Linked DNA regions of Elephas maximus indicus. The protein of the gene in region 1 interacts with the protein of each later gene in a biochemical or structural test. Links are inferred from orthologs where the notes say so. Each region holds a gene or a part of one and is shown in the gene's direction. Other genes may lie near its edges.

What was found.
Region 2: the proteins of NPR3 (region 1) and NPPB form a complex in vitro, tested with the Homo sapiens proteins (4 studies listed by BioGRID, with this or other methods). The link is inferred for Elephas maximus indicus from reciprocal best matches to the Homo sapiens genes NPR3 and NPPB.
Region 3: the proteins of NPR3 (region 1) and NPPA form a complex in vitro, tested with the Homo sapiens proteins (4 studies listed by BioGRID, with this or other methods). The link is inferred for Elephas maximus indicus from reciprocal best matches to the Homo sapiens genes NPR3 and NPPA.

Annotation. Positions count from the first base shown.
Region 1 is NC_064820.1:37,835,654-37,842,596, forward strand, and holds the start of NPR3 (atrial natriuretic peptide receptor 3), read left to right. Parts: upstream 1-3,887; 5' UTR 3,888-4,410; coding exon 4,411-5,167; intron 5,168-6,943. UniProt on the Homo sapiens protein: Receptor for the natriuretic peptide hormones, binding with similar affinities atrial natriuretic peptide NPPA/ANP, brain natriuretic peptide NPPB/BNP, and C-type natriuretic peptide NPPC/CNP.
Region 2 is NC_064821.1:51,724,887-51,730,674, reverse strand, and holds NPPB (natriuretic peptides B), read left to right. Parts: upstream 1-3,877; coding exon 3,878-4,000; intron 4,001-4,245; coding exon 4,246-4,356; intron 4,357-4,446; coding exon 4,447-4,585; intron 4,586-5,195; coding exon 5,196-5,212; downstream 5,213-5,788.
Region 3 is NC_064821.1:51,713,208-51,719,845, reverse strand, and holds NPPA (natriuretic peptides A), read left to right. Parts: upstream 1-4,250; 5' UTR 4,251-4,472; coding exon 4,473-4,595; intron 4,596-4,717; coding exon 4,718-5,044; intron 5,045-5,762; coding exon 5,763-5,774; 3' UTR 5,775-6,057; downstream 6,058-6,638.

The DNA of each region.
Region 1 (6,943 bases):
TAATTTAATTTTTGGGCATCCATTGATTTTCCCCTCTCGCCTCCAATGGTTCCCTCTAAAACAGCAACTATATGTTCAAAAGAAAATCTCAGTGCTCATTACATTATAGAAATGTTCTTGAATTATGTGTAATATTCTTTCATCTTTTCTGCCTCTAGGGGGAAGTGTGTTTTCAACAATTCTGTCCCCAGAAGTATTTTCTTTGTGGGCGAGAGGCTTCCCAGGGATGTTCTTAAATGTGACTTCAGGGCTGGCTTGACAAGGGAGAAGCAGCAGCAGCTCTCCTTGAAAATCTGGAGGGGCTTTTATGTTAGTGATTGTGGCCAGGATTCTGAGGAGAGGAGATAAATATGGCCTATGACAGTTGGTGGAGCAAACCTCTTCCTGATAGCTTTTCTAATACATTTCGTACTATCACATGTTGAGTTTCCCTATATGGTGCTGCCTTTCCTGGTGACAGAGGGATGACATATAGATACTATGTTTCATTTCATAGAGTTGGAAAACAAAGTTCTTTCTAGAAAACTTGCCACCTTATTTTGGTAGCTAAAAGTTAGAAAATCATAGTTTATGTGTATTGATGAAGTCGTTTCTAAAGTCTATAAAAAAACCTATTAGTTTCTGGAATAGCATGTATAGGGCTAACATTGCATCTAAGTTTCAATTGACTAATCTTATTTTTCTTTTCCAGAATGTCCCCATAATTTTTCTTTACTATTATTCACTAATATTAGCCAGAAAGGATGCACTCAGTGAAGCAGTTAGCATCCTTTTGAATGTTAAAAAAAAAGTGCTGTTCCCCTCCCCCCCACCGCCATTCCTGTGTTTTATAGCACTGAAAGGAAGAGTATATAAAAATTGAGCTTAAGGGATGAGTTGTTTCTATTTCTTTTCCTTTTTTTTCAATCTTATTTATTTTGGTTCATCTTTATGATTATGGTGCTACAAAAAATTCTGTTATGACTTGTTACTAATTTTCAGTTATGCTTTGCTGTATATTCTCAAAACTTAGCTACATACAAATTGTTGATATAAAAAGGCTATTATTTAAGGTCAGGGTTAGCTTTTTCCTCAACCCTTTTCTACGTGGTATAAGTGGTATAATAGGTGATACATGCTTTATTTCTAATCCGGTCCCATTAAAAATGTTCTCAGGCAATGAAGAGGTATTTAGCTATGTCATTTGTAGTCATTGGGCCTCAATTCCTTATCTACAGAGTGAGCGGTGTCAGGCCTAGTGACTTAAGATCTTTTCCAGCCCTAAGATTTTAGAACGCCGTGATATTTACACTAACTTTTAGCTGGTTGCTAGAAATCAAGCTTGATCAAAGTAAATAAACCCATGACATTAAAATGCCATATGCTGATATTCCTTGGTGGGTCTTCCTATAATTTTGTGCTTATTTTTATTTGAAAAATATTCTTCCACAATCCTCATTTCTGCTCATGGGACGTTTTTGTGGGGATATTTTGAGCACTGGCTCTCTTTTTGCTGTCTAGTTAGGGGACTCTGCTTCCACAGCTTCATCTTGTTTGCGTTCTAGGTCACAAGCGGGAAGAGCTCCTACCCAGAGATCTCGGGCAGGCTGTGGTACTCACCCAAAACGTAAACGCACTGTCCTGCTCCTGACCTTCGGTGAGGCTGGGCAGCGCCTGGGAGGGGAGAGGCATTTACGCCCGGTGTCACTGAAACCCCAGCCTCTCCGCAAAAGCCCACACCACACACTGTGCAGAATTATATCGCCTTTGGCTCGCGTTGGAGACACAGGGCATTCCGGGGAGAAATAGGAAACCCCGTGTTCCTTTGCGTCTCCTGGCAACCAGATTTGAAATCCATTAAGACTTCTGGAATTAGGAATTTAGCCCTTGTTCTTTTTTTAAATCTATGATCCCATAAAATGCCTGCCCTCCTCTAAGGGATTCAGGAAGGATTCAATTGCTGCGAGGCTCTCGATTGCCAGAGTCTGTGGATTATCCAGTTCGTAGAATTAAACTTTTAACTGATGCTTCTTAGCAGCTCTAATTAAGTAAAAGTCCTGGCAGGAATTAGAAGCTGGGTGGCACAAGGGCTTAAGTTCTCCACTACTAGGCGACAGGTTGGCAGTTCAAACCCACCCAGAGGCGCCTGGAACGACAGGCCTGGTGATCTGCTTGGGAAAGGTCACAGCCTTGAAAACCCTACGGAGTAGTTCTACTCTGCACACACGGGGTGTCCATGAGTCGGATGAGGTTCCACTGCAACTAACAACAACAATTTACAGTGAAGACTCAGGGATCACAGTGTATAATCTGAAATCAAAACGACCCAGAGGCTGAAGCTGCACCCAGAATTAATTTGCGGTACCAGAAAGAGACCTGAGGAGGGTGCTAGTAACAGCGGCGAGGGCCGATGTCTAAACCTCGCACATCCCCCGAAACCCCGATTTGCTTTCTTAAGGTCACACATGAAAGCGAGAGCTCTTCAGGGCTCCTGAGTTAAAAAACGCAGCGCCTGGGGGCTGTGGCACCCGGGTTAAGAGTCGGGTGCACGTTTCTGCCGAAAGAGGGCGTTGGTCTAAGACTTTCTGAAATTTGTGGACACCGAAGCCCAGGCAAAGGAAAGAACATTTTAAAACATTTTCAATTTATTTTAATTTGCCAGACTTAAGTGTGTAAATTCTTCCGTCCAATGTAGCACGTTCACATTGCAAATAGCCTCGGTGTATCACCACACTGAGACGGTCAAGTTCCATTAAGACCTGCTCCACCGCGCAGCGGATTCCGGCGAGGAGCCTCTGGCCACAGGCTTTTCCGCGACTGTTTCTATCCTTGTCTGTACTGCTGCTGTGACTGCGACCAGTGGCAGGACTGGGTCTCGGAGGCAGGACCTTTCCTGGCATCGCCGAACATCGAGCACAGCGTCTCGCGCGTCCCTAAGGAGGGAGAAACGGTTGGATTTCCCAGGGCGCGGGCTGGAGAGAAGCTGCGCCGCACCCAGGCGACCCTAGGGGGAAACTTGTGGGGAGACGGTCCTTTTATTTAGTTACCTGATGTAGCAACCAAAGTCCCGAAGATGTCTTGGGGATACCTTTCAAGTTTTTTGTCACCTCCAGAAGCCGAACCGCTCGCTAGCGGCCACTCCTTTGGGAACAATTTTCATTTTCCCGCTGGAACTGCTCTAGCGGAGAGTCTGTTCGCAGGGGCCCCGGCACCCTGGCACCGCTGCCAAACCAGAGCGAAACCCCGCGACCGAAAGGAGGGGGCGGGAGCCGGAGAGAGGGAGGTGTGGGGTCCGCCCTTGTCAGCCCCGCGCGGTCGGTGTCCCAGGTCGGTGAGTCGTCTGCACTGGAGCCTTGGACTCCGCTTGCTGACCTTGCGCCGGGAGACCGAGATGGTCGGGTGCCTTTTCGGAGTCGGCGCGTCAGGAGCCAATGTGGTCAGCGCTAGAAAGAGGTGAGAGCGACCGGGACTTAGGAATTTTTGCACGGAAACCACCTATTTCTAGAACCACCCCTTCCCCAATCCTTTTTTTTTTTTTTGGCACAGTGTGTGTGGGTACGGCGAGAACATTTCTTTACTTCCAAACATATTTTCTTTTTTAAGGCAGGGAGCTGCAGAGTGGGCTGCCGCACGCGGGGCAGCGGAGAGGTGGCGATCGTGGTAGCGCGCGGCGTTGGGGGCTTCTCTCGGCGCAGACTTGGGCGGTTGCGGCTTTAAGGAAAAGAACAGGGCTGCAGGGGAGCAGGGCGTAAGGTCGCTGGTGTGTTTGTGTCGGGGAGTGGGGAGGGCAGTGAGAAGGGTAGGGGTGCGGGGAGGAGCCTTGATGTAAGAATGTTAATGAGAGGCTCCCCCAGCCCAGCCCCCCACCTCTTCCCACCCCCAACACCCCACCCGCTGGAAATACAAGTCCGGCCTCGGCGCGCCCTGTGTGGCAACACGCTCCGCCGCTGCCACGCTATTTAAACGCGGGCTATGGATCCAGGAACCGGCGCGAATCAATGAGATCAAACGCGAGGGAGATGCACCGTCAATTACAAGCACTTGGACAAGTCTAACTTTTTTTTCTTTTACAAATATGCTTTCAAAAGCAATCTCAGCAACGCCCAAATAAGAAGCCACTTCTAAGCAAAATAGTATATGTACAGGGAGGGCGAATATATATATTTATAATAAGTATATAAAGATATTACAGGAGCACAGGTTTACACGCAGTGAACTTTTTCTTTTTTCTTTTTTTTAAACTACAGACATTGCAGAGAAGGACTCTTCCTCTTTATCTTCTGGCGAGCTAGCGAAGGGGGGAATTCTGTTTTCTCATAGCGCCCAAGGGGGCGCAGGGACCTCGGAGAGAAGATTGGGGAGGGGCGCGGCAGGGTGGGTGAGGGGCAGAGGGCGAGTCGGCGGCCAGGGCAGGCGCTAGCTTGCGGCACGATGCCGTCTCTGCTGGTGCTCACTTTCTCCGCGTGCGTCCTGCTAGGCTGGGCGGTGCTGGCCGGCGCCACGGGTGGCGGTGACCGCGGGGGCGCGGGCCCAGGCCCCGGGCGCCGGGAGGGAGAGGCGCTGCCCCCGCAGAAGATCGAGGTGCTGGTGCTGCTGCCGCAGGACGATTCGTACCTGTTCTCCCTGGCCCGTGTACGACCGGCCATCGAGTACGCGCTGCGCAGCGTGGAGGGCAACGGGACCGGGCAGCGGCTATTGCCGCCCGGCACCCGCTTCCAGGTGGCCTACGAGGACTCGGACTGCGGTAACCGCGCGCTCTTCAGCCTGGTGGACCGCGTGGCAGCGGCGCAAGGCGCCAAGCCCGATCTCATCCTGGGGCCCGTGTGCGAGTACGCGGCGGCGCCTGTAGCCCGGCTGGCGTCGCACTGGAACCTACCCATGCTGTCGGCGGGGGCACTGGCCGCTGGCTTCCAGCACAAGGACACCGAGTACTCGCACCTCACGCGTGTGGCGCCCGCCTACGCCAAGATGGGCGAGATGTTGCTCGCTCTGTTCCGCCACCACCAGTGGAGCCGCGCGGCGCTGGTTTACAGCGACGACAAGCTGGAGCGGAACTGCTATTTCACCCTCGAGGGGGTCCACGAGGTCTTTCAGGAGGAGGGCTTGCACACGTCCGCCTACAGTTTTGACGAGACCAAAGATTTGGACCTGGACGACCTGATGCGCTACATCCAGGCCAGCGAGCGAGGTGAGAGGGAGCGCGCCCCAAGCCCCGGCCCCAACCTTCGGCTCTCCGCGGCTCTCCACACACACCCGACCCTTCATGGCAGGCACACTGCCCGCTCCATGGCTGTGGACTCGCGGAGAGCACTCGCGTGGGGGCCGGTCCCTGGGCCCTTTGACTGTCGCCCACCGCAGTCCAAGGGAGCACGCTGAGGGCCCGGGGAGGTCGCGGAGACTGGGGGACGGGCGTGGGAGCCGGTCACTCCTGCCAGCCCAGGTCCGACAGGTGCCGTCAAAACGCCTGGGTGTTTTCTTCCTCGCTCCCCCTTCTCTGGCGTGGGACTGGCGATTAGAGGGACACTCCCGTACCCCGCTACAGCCAGGGTCTGAAAACATGTCGAGGCCCAAAGAACTTACTACCCAACCCCTGGCCGGCGTGCGTCCCCTCCTATGCGGCAGCGTCGGGAGACGCGCTGCAGCCCGCGTTCCTACACTTAGCTAGACGGTATCTCCGGGTTTTCTCGGCTGATTTTTTTTTTCTTCTTTCTGCAGACCCCAGGTTTCTTTTAAAGGCTCATTGTATCGCCTGCCTCATTCCTTTCCATGGCCCCTGTAGCCCCTTATAAATGAGCTTCTGTGGTTTCCACCAAAAATGTCTTACTCTGTCTGGACCCAGGAGACGCTCGCTTCCCGCCGCCTCCCCCCCTCCCCCGCCCCCGCGCGCTCTGTGTCGCGGGCTCTGAAACGCCTGTAGCAACCTTTTTGTGGAGCTCTTGCTGGAGAAGCGGGCGCTGAACCTCCCTTCAACGTGCCCCTCAAGTTTTATCGGTGGGTACGTGGGGGTTTGGAATAATACCCAAGCTTGACCAACGACCAAGAGCTCCAGACCGGGGCTGATAGCTGTGGCTACGAGGAGCAGGTGGGGAAGGGGGTGGTCGTGGACCCTTAACGGCGGAAGCCCCCAGTGCGGCCGTTTGAGTGCAGAGTAGACTGCGGCAAGGCGGTGGAGACCTCCGCCTCACGCATTTCTCTGGTTCCGGGCAACCGGGTTTGGGAGCACAGCGCTAGCGAAATCCCGCTTCTGCCTTCCTGGGAGCTCACACGCGTCTGGAATGTCGGTACATTCCCGGCAAGGCTCCCAGCGTTCGGTTCCCATGCGGGTTACGCCGCGGGCCTGGTGCACACTGTGGCACGGCCAGGCACCTGGGGACTCGCCTTGGGGGACAGCTCAATCTGAGACCAGGGGCCTCAGGAATACGTGAGAGTGGGCAGAGGCGCCAGCAAGGGTGGTGCTGCAGCCACCCCCTCCCCAACTTGACCACCTCGAACTCGGAGTGAACTCAGCCCTTAGAGCAGAGAAGGAGAGAGGTGCGGACACTGGGGATGCACCACCAAGTTTTGAGCACTCGAACTCCAGGCTGTCTGTGCCGAATCTCTGCCAGCCAAGCAGGCGGAGCGCCGGGCTTTACTGATTATGAAAAAGGGCATTTGTGTCCGGCGGCTGGGAACTCGCCACGCCCGGGCGAGGAACCCACATCTACTCCCTTCACCATTCCGGTACCAAGGTCACCGCAGCGCCTGCAGACTTGGCGCTGCTTTAGCCCTCGGACCTGGCTTCTTCAGCTCTTGGCTATCGGGGGCTGGAAGCTGGGAGGTTGGAGGTTCCCAGGGGAGGGCTGGGGGTGGGGATGTGTCAGCCCTAAGCCCCCTACCGGCGAGATCCGCAGTTTGCCCATGCGCCTGTATCGCCACTGCCTTGACAGCCCCACTGCCGGCGGTGACCCCAGCGGACGCGGCTGGG
Region 2 (5,788 bases), on another chromosome or scaffold:
TCCCTGTCAGAACAGTCAGTGATGGTAGCCCGGCATCATCTAGTTGTACTGGACTCAGTCTGGTGGAGGTCGTGGTAGATGTGGTCCATTAGTCCTTTGGACTAACCTTTCCCTTATGTCTTTAGTTTTCTTCATTCTTCCTTGCTCCCGAAGGGGTGATACCAGTGGAGTATCCTAGATGGCCGCTCACAGGCTTTTAAGACCCTAGACACTACACACCAAAGTAGAATGTAGAACATATTCTTTATAAACTCTGTAGCAAGCAGGCAATCTTGACCCTCACTCCACCACAGGTTGGCCAGTTTAGCAAATAGGAATACACGACATCTGGTTAAATTTGAATTTCAGGTAAACAACAGATACTCTTTTAGTATGAGTAAGCCCCAGCTGGAGCACAGAATTGGAGGTGCTGGTGTGCTCCTCACAGGTGTGCAGCAGGAAGTGTACAGGTACAGGAAGCCCCAGGACAGCAGCCCCCGGCAGATGCTTGTTAATGCCAGTCTAGGCAGAAGGAGAGGATGGGTTAAGTAGGGAACCCTAGAATGGGAAGGGCCAGGGGCCAAGCCTGTCCAGGGTCTGCTCCTACCTGCGAAGTCAGCTGCTGCCCCAGGATCAGCCTGTGTGGGCCACACAGCATCTCTCCAGGGACTCCTGTACCTGGCTTTTCTGTGTCCCTGGAACCCAAACTGGTCCTTTAGTTGGTGGGCCTGTGCCACCCAAATCAGGCTTAGCCTGGGCCAAGCCAGGTGGCCCGATCAGGCCTGTGGAGGTCAAGTGTAGCATCACTGTGGTCTTGCCCCCACCCCATAGGACACTGGGGGCAGACCCCAGCTCCCTGCTGAACTAGCAGCAACAGAGAATGATTGTCACATCTCATTTCCAGGTTGGTGGCTCTGAGCTGAGATGTGCCCTTAACCTTTCCTTCGCCAGGAAGGAGGTGAGTTGCCTGTGGGTTGAGCTACCACTGTCACCGCAACAGCCTTTACTGAGGGCTTACTATGTGCCAGGTACTATGCTCAGCATTTTACATAGACCGTATTAGTTTCCTATTGCTGCTGTAACAAGTTGCCACCAACTTAGTGGCTTAAAACAACACGAATTTATCTTACAGTTCTGATGACCCGAAGTTTGAAATCAGTTTCAATGGGCTAAAATCAAGGTGTTCCTTTTGGAGATGCTAGGAGAGAATCCATTTCCTTGCTATTTCTAGCTTCTAGATACCACCTGCAATCCTAGGCTGGTGGCCTCTTCCTTCATCTTCAAAACCAGCAGCGTGGCATCTTCTCTCCTCTCTGACCTCTGCTTCTATTCGTATGTCTTCTCTCAATGATTTTGATCCTTTTGCCTCCGTCTTATAAGGATCCTTGTGATTACATTGGGCCCAGCGAGATAATCCAGGATAACTCCCCATCTTGAGATTCTTAAGCACATTTGCAAAGTCCCTTTTACCATGTAAGGTTAACATAATCATAAATTCCAGGGATTAGGATTTGGACACCTTTGGGGGAATGTTACTGAGCCTGCCACATGTACCATCTAATTTAATCCTTGTACAGTAATGCTATGACATATGTGATATCATTACCCTCAATTAATAGAGCTGGAAAGTGTATGGCATACAGTAGGCACACTCAGTATTAAGTTCAGTGTCTTCTCTAAAATCTTCCACAATCCCCTTCACTGGGATGGCTCCTTCCTGGCCTGATGGGGCAGGTGGAGGCTCTGTCAGAGTGTTTAGCACTTAATTGTTTCCCCTGGAGTTACTCTGTCTTCTCAGCAATATCACAAATCCTTTGGTGTAGGGACCAACTCTCACACATATTTCTAATTATTTGGTTCTTTTCACACTGCCAAAGTCTTTTACAGACATCATTTTCTCACTTTTATTTATCTTCCAAGGATGCAGAGCACCATTATACCCAATTTGCAGAAGAGAAAAGTAAGGTTCAGGCTAGATAGTGTCAGTGCTTGAGAGGTGCTGGTTGGCTGCTGTCTTTCTCCCGACCCTTCCCTTCATGATGCCCAATGTGAGGGACCCTCTACACTCTTTGCAGTTCCCAGTCCTCTACTCAGCTCTTCACTTTGTTGGATTCTGTTGCCTCCCCTCTATTCTCAGTGAATCTTTGGATATTCCTCTTGTGGTATGCATGTGCACACACACACACACTGGCCCAGCCCCTAGAACCTCCTAACCCTTCCCCCTCTCCCATCCTCATCTGTAAAACACTCATCTTACCCACAGTTAACATCCTTCCCCTGCACACACAGCCACCAGACTCACCCCACCCCCTCTAGCACAGCTCCCTATACCTTCACAGATGACAATGAATTAATTTTTTTTCTAGTAGAAACCCTTTGCAGTCACCCTAGCAGTGATTAAGAGCTTCAGGTCTGGAATCAGACTGCCTGGATTGGAATCCGGGCTTCACCACTTGTCAATTGTGTGGCCTTAAGAAAGGTGATAAATTCCTCTGAGTTGTTTCTTCATCTGAAAAGTGGGAATATCAGTATTCTTTCCTACTTAACACTTGGCAACTGCTTTTTTTAGGCAAGAGTTGCTTAGGGGCCCAAGCTTCTTGCTGCCCTTCCCCCCATCTGTCATAACTTATCTTCCTTCCTGTACAGCCCTATACATTCACCCTGCTTCTTGTTAACATAAATTCTCTGGAAGGGTGTTGACATTAGTCATGCACACTTTAGGGGAGGTTTAAGCAGCTGTTTCTCTTCCCAGAGCCAATTTTTGGAGCCCTATTTCTGATTACAGGTGGCAAGTCCACCTGTGCTCCCATCTGCTAATGGGAATTAGGTAATGAATAATCATATGGAGGAGGAATTGGGGGGGACTCTCCATACACCTTGTCCCACCAAATAGATAACCATCCTTCCACCCATCACCTCTTTTTCCATCATGTGTCTTGGTTGGTGGAGGAGAGGAGGTGTTGGCAACTGGAGGACCAGCGATAGAAGGCATTCCTGGATGACTTCATCTCAGGGGCCTTGCCTCTCAAAATTCCAGCCGAATCAGCTCTACCCTTTAAGGGATAGAAGAAAGGTCAACATTCCAGAAGTTCCTTGTCATACCCAGGCATTTAATTAGATGATATTGGGGGGGTCAGCATCCCAGTGCTGTAAGGCTCGAGGGGAGTGGGAGTAAGACGGTGAGAAGGGGTCTTAGAGATCTCTTGCCCCTGCCCCGTGCAGGTCTTTCTGGGCGGGAAACCCCATGAGAACCAGACTTCATGAGTAGAGTTTGAGCAAAGTTCGAGGTCAGCACCACGGACAGCGGTCGGCGCTCCGGTACTCGCAGCCGGGCTGGGCGTAGGAACTCCGGCGAATTGCTGAGTTACAGGCGGGAGGGGAGGTGGGGGAGATGTCCGGTGTTTGGCGTTGTTCTCACTCTGAGTCACCGTGCTCCCCGCGCTAGCGTCGAACTTTAGGATGCTGGAGTTCTTCCTACCCTCTCCAGGAATGCTTGGGGGTGGAGAGCGGAGGAGATGGAGCCATGCCTTGGCCCTTGGATTTTTGCAGGAAAGAAAGAATCAGGAGAGACAAGGAACCTGTTGGTGTCCACCACGAGTTCCCGTCCGGGCCCTGCCCATTTCTGTACAAGGCCTGTCCTCCCCAGCCTCCACCCCCAGGGAGTACTAGTACCAGACCCTGAAGGGAGCATGCCTGGGCCCTGAGATCAGCGGGTCGGAATGCAGCTGATAAAGCACAGATAACCCAGGAGGGCAGGACAGACCCTGCTCCCAGCACGGGGATAAAAGGCTGTGGTTGCCCAGGAAGCCAGGAGAGCGCCTGTGGACCTCAACAGGTGGGACTGCAACCGGGGCTCTGAGCAGCCACAGCAGCAGTAACCCCCGCCTGGCTCTTCGACATGGACCAGACCGCGCTGACCCGGGCACTTCTGCTCCTCCTGTTCCTGCACCTGTCGCCTCCGGGAGGTCATTCCCACCCTCTAGGTGGCCCTGACCTGGACTTGGAACTGCCCGGGTTACAGGTGAGCACTGCGAAACTGTAGATACAGCCAGCTGGGAGAGTGTTCCTGTAGCAGCAAAGAACTGGTCCACACCTCTTGTTCCAAGGAATCCCCACCTTCCTGTGGGAGTTAGTGAAAAAGGAATCAGGAAGCAGTGAGACTGGGTGCTAGGACACCCTACCCAAGCAGTTGGTTCACATGTGCTCCATGGAGGGGGTGCTGAGGGAGTGGGGGTTACTGAGGCTCGGGCTCCCCACCCATCACAGAAGCTGTTGGACCATTTGCAGGACACGGTCTCTGAGGTGCAGACGGAGCCAGTGATCCTGGAGCCCGTCCAGCAGGGCCATAGCCCTGTCGAAGCCGGGGAGGCCCAGGAGGTCACGGTCTCTGAGGTGCAGACGGAGCCAGTGATCCTGGAGCCCCTCCAGCAGGGCCATGGCCCTGTCGAAGCCGGGGAGGCCCAGGAGGTATCCCCGATGGGTGTCCCCCAGCCTCAAATCCCTGAGGCCCAGGGGAGACTACCCAGCCCCAAGATGATGAGCGATTCTGGCTGCTTTGGGGGGAAGATGGACCGCATTGGCTTCCACAGCCGCCTGCGCTGCAATGGTGAGTCCCCAACTTAGCACTCAACAGGAATGCTGCACACCCACCCCATTCTTACACTGTCCACACTTCCATACACTTCTGGGTTTTTTGTTTCTGGGGGCCACCAAAAAACCCAAACCAAACCCGTTGCTGTAGAGTGGATTCTGACCCATAACAACCCTATGGGGGCCACAGTCTTTGCAAAAAGGGCACCTGGACACATCACTCCCTCTTGCTGAGACCTTAGGGTCAAGGGGTGCCTTTCTAGAAATATTAAATACGGGCACCATTCATTGCCATCCTCATGAGCCCCACCCACCTCTCATCATCTCTCTTACCAAAAGGGGCAGAATTAACTTAGAGTGGACCCCATTCATTGTCTGGCAGCCCCTATCTGGAAGGGCCCCAGATATCCTTTCTCCTGGTTTTCTCAGGGCTACTATTACACCCACTTTACAGATGAAGAAAATGAGGCCCACCCACAGAGATCAATTGTTCCAAGGCTTCAAACATCAAAATCAGCCAAGGGCTGGGGGTGGGTGGCAGGGACGGGACATGGTGAGGGGACACTCAGATCCTGCCTCAGTCTTCTAGCCTAAAGATATAATCACTCTCTCTCTTCTCCCCACAGTGCTGGGGAGCCCTTAAGAGGAAGTCCTGGCCTCAGGCATCTGCCTCTGATCCTCCAGCTGGTCTTTCCCCAACCCTGTGATCCCCTTCAATGACTCCTATTTATTTATCTTTATTTATTTGGTTATTTTACAAAGATGGTTTCTTACTTTTGAGCACACGATTTCCATGGAGAAATAAAGTCAACATTATAGTGTTATCTTTTGAAACTAATTTGTCTCTGGGCATTAAAAGAATAATTTCCAAAAAACAGAACAAAACCCTGTGTTTTCTTGAAGGCGTCTTGATGGTGAGGTGGGGACACTAGCCTTAAGGGCTGGTTAAGCTGGGTGGGAGGGTGTCTTTCTTTAAGGGTTTTTCACGCTCTGAAATGTCTACAAACATCTCAAGCACTTGAGACACTTGGCAGAAACTGCTTTTCAAAGCAGGGCCGTTTCTTCCTGGGAGAGAAATGGGCACGACAGATTCACACAACAGAGTCACACAAGTGAGGGTGTATGTCCGCAAGTCTGCCCCACTAGTCAGCCCTTTGCCCGGAGTTCCACCATTAGAGGTACTCTCCTTGGTGACTGTTGTTTCCAGAAGGTCTAAGCT
Region 3 (6,638 bases), on another chromosome or scaffold:
TTCACAACTAAATGAAACAATCCCAGTCCTGCACCATCCCCATGATCAGTTGTGGATTGGACCATTGTGATCCACAGGGTTTTCACTGGCTGATTTTCAGAGGTAGATTGCCAAGCCTGTCTTCCTAGTCTATCTTAGTCTGGAAGCTCTGTTGAAACCTATTCAGCACCATAGCAACATGCAAGCCTCCACTGAGAGACAGGTGGTGGCTGCACATGAGGTGCATTGGCTGAGAATCAAACCTCCAACATGGCAGGTAAGAATTCTACCACTGAACTACCAATGCCTTCTTACCTTGAATTGGAACCCCTATAAAGCTGCAGTAAGTGAGCTTTTGCCTTGGGCTTTGTTTCCTAGGGAAGGTGGGCAGTGAACCAGGCTGAATCACTGCTCTCATGGTAGTCACTATCCAGCTGAGGAAGTAGCTTTCTCTATTTCCTTGTTCTACTTTGGGACCTGCCCTGGGCTTCCAGTCCCCAGTGAGTCCATATTGTATGCAAGAAAAAGAACAGCACCTTCAAACTCAGAAACAACCGTCCCTAAGTATGCAACGGCGTCCTAACAGTTTCTCCCAACTGGGGCTTCTGCTTTAGACTATCTGGGTCTGACAGAATCATGTTATGACTGAGATGGGTTTTTCCTGCTAGTTCTGCCCACGTGTGCTCCCTGCAGCAGCCCCCACATTCCCATGGAAGGTTGTGAGACCAAGCTCTGGTCTAGCAACTGGAGACGCCCAGACTCTGGGTTCTCCTACCCATCCGCACTGCTCATTCTCTCATTTGACTAAGACAACTTCTTGCCTGTGATAAAGAAATAAACACTTGCGATTTTTCAGCTAGAGAGGTAGGGGTGGAGGGTGGATCTGATTTTTTGCGTCTTTTGCTTTTTTCTCTCTCTCACTCCTACAGACTGGCTTCCAAACACCCCTTCCTCCACCTCTCCACACACACCCCGAAGTTGAGCAGGGCATGGAAGTGAAGAGAAATGTTATGTCAAGCCATTTTCCATTTCAGGCTGAAATCAAAAGCTTTAATGGGGATATCAGTGCTTTTGAGGATTTTCTGTTTTCGCTGGGCCCTGGGAGGTGGTAGTCCTGGCTCTATGAAAGCCCTCAGGGCAGGAAGCCTGAATGTCCTTTGTCTTAGAAAAAAATAATAATAATAAAACTTACACACACACAAACACAAATTTGACTAGCAGAAGAAACTCAACAAATGATGCTTGTGTCCCACTCTAGTTTCACTCTGGGAGCAGAAAAGTGACTGCAATAAAAGGAAGCGAGCAAATTCCGAAATTGTCTTTCTGGAATCTTGGATGAGATTCTACTTCACCTTGGGCCACCTACAGTCTCCTACAGGCTTCAGAAATGACTCAGGGTAGAGCAGCCACGTGGCCCTCAGAGGCCGAGCCATCAAGAAGGGGCCACCTGCCTTGATGCAGGCCTCGAAGTCTTCCTCCATCAAAGGCCTATCTCAAAGGGCATCTCCAGGAGACAGGCTGTGTGACGCACGCGGCATCAGCTCCCCCCAGCGTGGCTGCAGGCTGGATCCTCTCTGCTAATAATAACTTCCAGCCGAGCAATTATGCTGTGAGCACATTTCGGGGACGCATCAGGGTATGGGGGTGTTTAGTTCCCAGAGCTCCTACTCAGAACTGTGGCCCATTTCAGATGCCAAGTTGAGTTTGACTGACCCAGATAAGTTACCCAAACCCCCAAGCTTTCTGAAGAGGATCCCTTTTTCCTTCCGTCTTACAATAAAATCACTCTGCACACCTGTGGGGACCTCTGGCCACCAACTGCCCTAATGCCCTGTCTTCTCATGGTGTAACAGCCTCTCTGCCTGGTTGGTCACAGAGTAAGTGCAGCTGCAGAAGGATTTGGCCAGGACAGAGCTGGTTGTTCAACATACATTTTCTGAATTTCCATGTTGTCATTAGTTGCCATTGAGTCAGCTCCCATTCATGGCGACCTTACATATTGCCTGGTTCTGCACCATCTTAATGATCGTTGGTATGTTTGAGTCCATTATTGAGATTATTCTCTCACTCCATCTCATTGAGGGTTTCTCTTGTTTTCATTGGCCTTGTTCTTCATCAAGTAGATGTCCTTTTCTAGTGATTGGTCTTTCCTGATGACATGTCCAAAGTAAGTGAGTTGAAGTCTTGTTATTCTAGCTCCTAAGGAGCATTCTGGTTGGTATTAGGTGTGTAAACAGATTATGGGGACTGGATGAGCCCTTTCTTTAAGAAAATCCAAATGGGGAGAGCAGCCAAACACAGAGAGATTTGTCCCACACACAAAGCTACAAGCCCAGCTGCAGTAGGAGGCAAGAGATGTTCAGGGTAATGGGAGAGATCAAGTGTGGGGGGAGGCATTTAATCAGGAAATGCACCCAAGGGCTTGTTAATGAGCCGCCATGTGAAATGGGTTAAGATCATGGGCTTAAGTATCAAACCTGGGGCTCAAGTCCTGGTTCTGCCAATTGGGCAAATGACATGGCCTTGGGCGAGTGACATAATCTCTCCAAGTCTCAGTTCTGGCTCTCTGCAAATGGGAACAATACTACCCACCTCCTGGGAGCGGTGAGGAAAATCAAGTAATTCACATCAAGCTCTCAGCAGAGTGCCAGCTCATTGTAACTGATCAATAAAAGACCATCATTACTACCCCCTTGCAATTATATAGCATCTCACACTTCACACAGTGCTGGCTCTATTGAGCCTCACAACTGCCCTGTGAAGTGGGCAGGACAGCTTTTTATATTTTTCTCATAGATGAGGAAATGGGGGTCCCAAAAACTTATGCAACTGGTTTGTTTTTGGGCTACAATGCAGGTTTCTCAACCTTTCAGTTTTAGTATTTTTTCTTCCAGTATGCATTGCCAGCTGTCTGTCAGTGTGTTGTACAACGGTGACTTGCATATTGCTATGCTAAGCTTGTTTACAAGCTATGTCGCTGGTATTTTAAATATCAGCCTAGTCATCCATGGCAGACAGGTTTCAGTGGAGCTTCCAGACTAAGAGGGTGGGAAGAAAGACCTGGTCATCTATGTCCAAAAATGAGCCAATGAAAACCCCATGGACAACAGGATATTGTCCAATATAGTGCTGGAAGATGAGCCCCTAGACTGGAAGGCACCCAAAATATACAGTGGCTACAACAATGGACTCAGCTATACCAACGATCATCAAGATGGGGCAGGAATGGGCAATGTTTCTTTCTGTTGTGCATGGGGTCGCCATGAGACGGAGCCAACTCTATGACAGCTAACAACAGCAACATGCGTTGCATTGAATGGTATACTAAAGTCGAGTTCAGCACTTAGAATGTGGGGGCCACTCATTAAATGTGGACAGACTCGCTGCCTATTATTTGTCCTTGGGGTTCAGGAAAATTGAGGCCTTAAGTGGTTCAGTCACTTGGCTGGCCCTGGAGAAGGACATGGTGGGTTTTAACGGAAACTGTGTACATCAGGTTTGCCTCCCACCTCATTGTATCCAGCCATCAAAGCTTTCATGGGAAGGGTGGGGGGCCATTACAAGCATCAAACTCAACAAGTCTGAGCTTCTATAAACAGTGAGGTGAAGAAATAAAAACACCGGCATCTTCTAAGTGCCTACCTCCCTGGACACCTTGGATGGGATCATGGGGGATGGGAAGGAGACAGAGTTTGGAAGAGGAATGACTGATTCCCCCAGCTTTTCTTGGTGTTTGTATTTGGGAGCTGAATTCTTGAGACGTTCATCACATTTGGTTCCTGGCTGATTTAATACTCTAAAAAATAGCTCCCTCTTCACCTGACTGCTGAGAGTGACTATCAGAAGTGTGGGCGGTCTTGTCTCAAACAGAGGCAGGAGGTCTGCCACGCTTGCTCATGAGTCAGGTGTGAGGCCAGCCTGAGCATCTGGGCTGATTTGTCCTGAGCTGCCGGCTGCCTGCCATTTCCTCCTGTCCCGCCCTTATTTGGAGCCGCTGCCAGCGGAACCACAAACCAACTGGGGGAGCTGGGCGCCGGCCAACCGCCACCCTTCACTTCCCTGCATGGGTCCTGTTGCTGAGGAGAAAGAATCCTGAGGCATCACTGTGAGATAACCAAGGACTCTTTTTTGCTCTTCTCACACCTTTGAAGTGGGAGCCTCTTGAAGCCAATCAGCAAGAATGTGGCTCTTGTAGCCGAGGGTCTGGGGGGTTGCTGGGGCTGCTCAAGGCAGAGGGGCTGGGACAAGCTCTGCTGGGCTGATAACTTTAAAAGGGCATCTTCTGCTGGCTCCTCACTCAGCTGCTTTATCGCTGCAAGTGACAGAATGGGGAGGGTTCCATCCCTCTTGTGCTCTCGGAGAGCTGGGGGGGCTATAAAAGGAGGCGGCTCAGGGCAGCTGGTAGGCAGAGACGGACGAAGACCACGAGAAGGAACCCAGAGAGGAAGGAGAAGACGCAGCAAGCACCAGACCAGCTCTTGGCCAACGCCAGCATGGGCTCCTTCTCCACCATCACTGTGTGCTTCCTCCTTTTCCTGGCATTTCAACTCCCAGGTCAAATCAGAGCGAACCCTGTGTACACCTCCGTGTCCAATGCAGACCTGATGGATTTCAAGGTAGGGCCAAGAAAGGGGGCTTAGCCTGGGACCAAGGGGCTTTCTGATACTGTGCCTATTTCTGGTGATTTTCTCCGAGCCCATGAGAACTTTCCCTTTCCCTGTATTTTCCTTTTGTAAAGAATTTGCTGGACCATTTGGAGGACAAGATGCCTTTAGAAGATGAGGTCGTGCCCCCGCAAGTACTAAACGAGCAGAATGATGAGGCTGGGGTGGCTGTCAACCCCCTGCCTGAGGTGCCTCCCTGGACCAGGGAGGTCAGCCCAGCTCAGCGAGATGGGGGTGCTCTTGGGAGGGGCCCCTGGGACTCCTCCGAAAGATCTGCCCTCCTGAAAAACAAGCTGAGGGCACTACTCACTGCCCCTCGGAGCCTGCGGAGGTCCAGCTGCTTCGGGGGCAGGATTGACAGGATTGGATCCCAGAGTGGCCTCGGCTGCAACAGTTTCCGGGTAAGAGGAGTGGGGGTAGAAATGGGGTGGGGAGGAAAGAGATTGTGGCTTTGTTGAAGCTGAAACCTTGTCAAAGAACACAACCAGGGGACACTTTCAGCAGGAAAGGAGCCAGCATAAAGGCTTGTTCCCTTTGAAATTTCTGCCCTAACTTGGTGGGTGGCCCTTCAGGACAAATGCCATCATCCTCAGCTACTGCCACTACCCTTTTCTCCATTGCTGTCAAGTGGATTTTGACTCATAGCAACCCTATAGGACAGAGTATAACTGTCCTATAGGGTTTCCAAGGCTGTAAATCTTTATGGAAGCAGGCTTTCCCTCGCAGTGGCTGGTGAGTTCGAACTGCCGACCTTTCAGTTATCAGCCAAGTGCTTAACCACGGCACCACCAGGGCTCATTCCTACTGCCACTAGCACAGAGAAATTAAAATGTTCATAGGCCCAAGTCATCTTTGTACTGCTGATTGGCATTCATGTTCCTTCCCAGAATTGCAAGATTCCAAAAGATCAAGTGAAATTGACAAGGGCTGCCCTCACTAGCTGCTAATGAGTAACTTGTTTACCAGTTCTTGAAACTCAGAGAGTCATCAGGGTGAGCATGGGAGCTGGTAGAAGTAACTGGTCAGAGGTCTAGTTCAGAGATGTAGCACTGTCATCCAAAGCTGACTTTTCCTGTAGAGCTGGTCACTGAGCCCAACATGTCTGTGTTCTTTTTGTAGTACCGAAGATAATGGCCAGGGAAGAAAAGGTGGCCCAGACCCAGGCAGACTCCGAGACCCTCACCCCCTGGGATCTCTCACTCAACCTTGTCCTACCCCATGGCCATCGAGTTGACGAGCACCTGTTCCAGCAGCAGCTTCTGGTCAACGTTTCTCATATTTTATGCTAACTGTAGATAAAATGGGTTAATTGTGTCTTCCCCCGCCTCTCCTACCCCCATGCCATTAACTTTTAGGATACACCCCACCTGCTACTGAAAGCGGTTTGAAAATGAATAAATGTCAGCACCATGGACAGAAGCCAATGGCTTGGGTTGGTGTGATTTCTTTCGTTTCCAGGGGAAGAGAATCCAGCCCAATTTACCTTGTCAAAGGAGCCCTGGTGGTGCTGTGGTTAAGCGTATGGCTGCTAACTGAAAAATCAGCAGTTGGTGGTTCGAACCCACCAACTTCTCTGAGGGAGAAAGATGTGGCAGTCTGCTTCCATAAAGATTACAGCCTTGGGAACCTTATGTGGACAGTTCTGCTCTGTTCTGTGAGTTGGAATTGACTTGAAGGCAACAAGGCTTTTTTTATTCCTTGTCATTTTACCCTTTGTCAGAAGAATGCTCAGGTTTTTTTTTCTCTTTTCTTTCCTTCCTCCCTCCCTCCCTTTTTTCTTTGGCCTCAAACTACAGTTCTCAACCTGCTCTGCTTTTCGTTCTAACCTCAGTCACGATCCTGAGAAATGCCCAGGAGAAAGTTTAGTTTGCATTTGCTCACATCCACCAAACCAAACCAAATTCGTTGCCATCAAGTCCATCCTGGCTCATAGCAACCCTATAGGACAGGGTAGAACTGCCCCATAGAGTTCCCAAGGAGCACCTAGTGGATTTG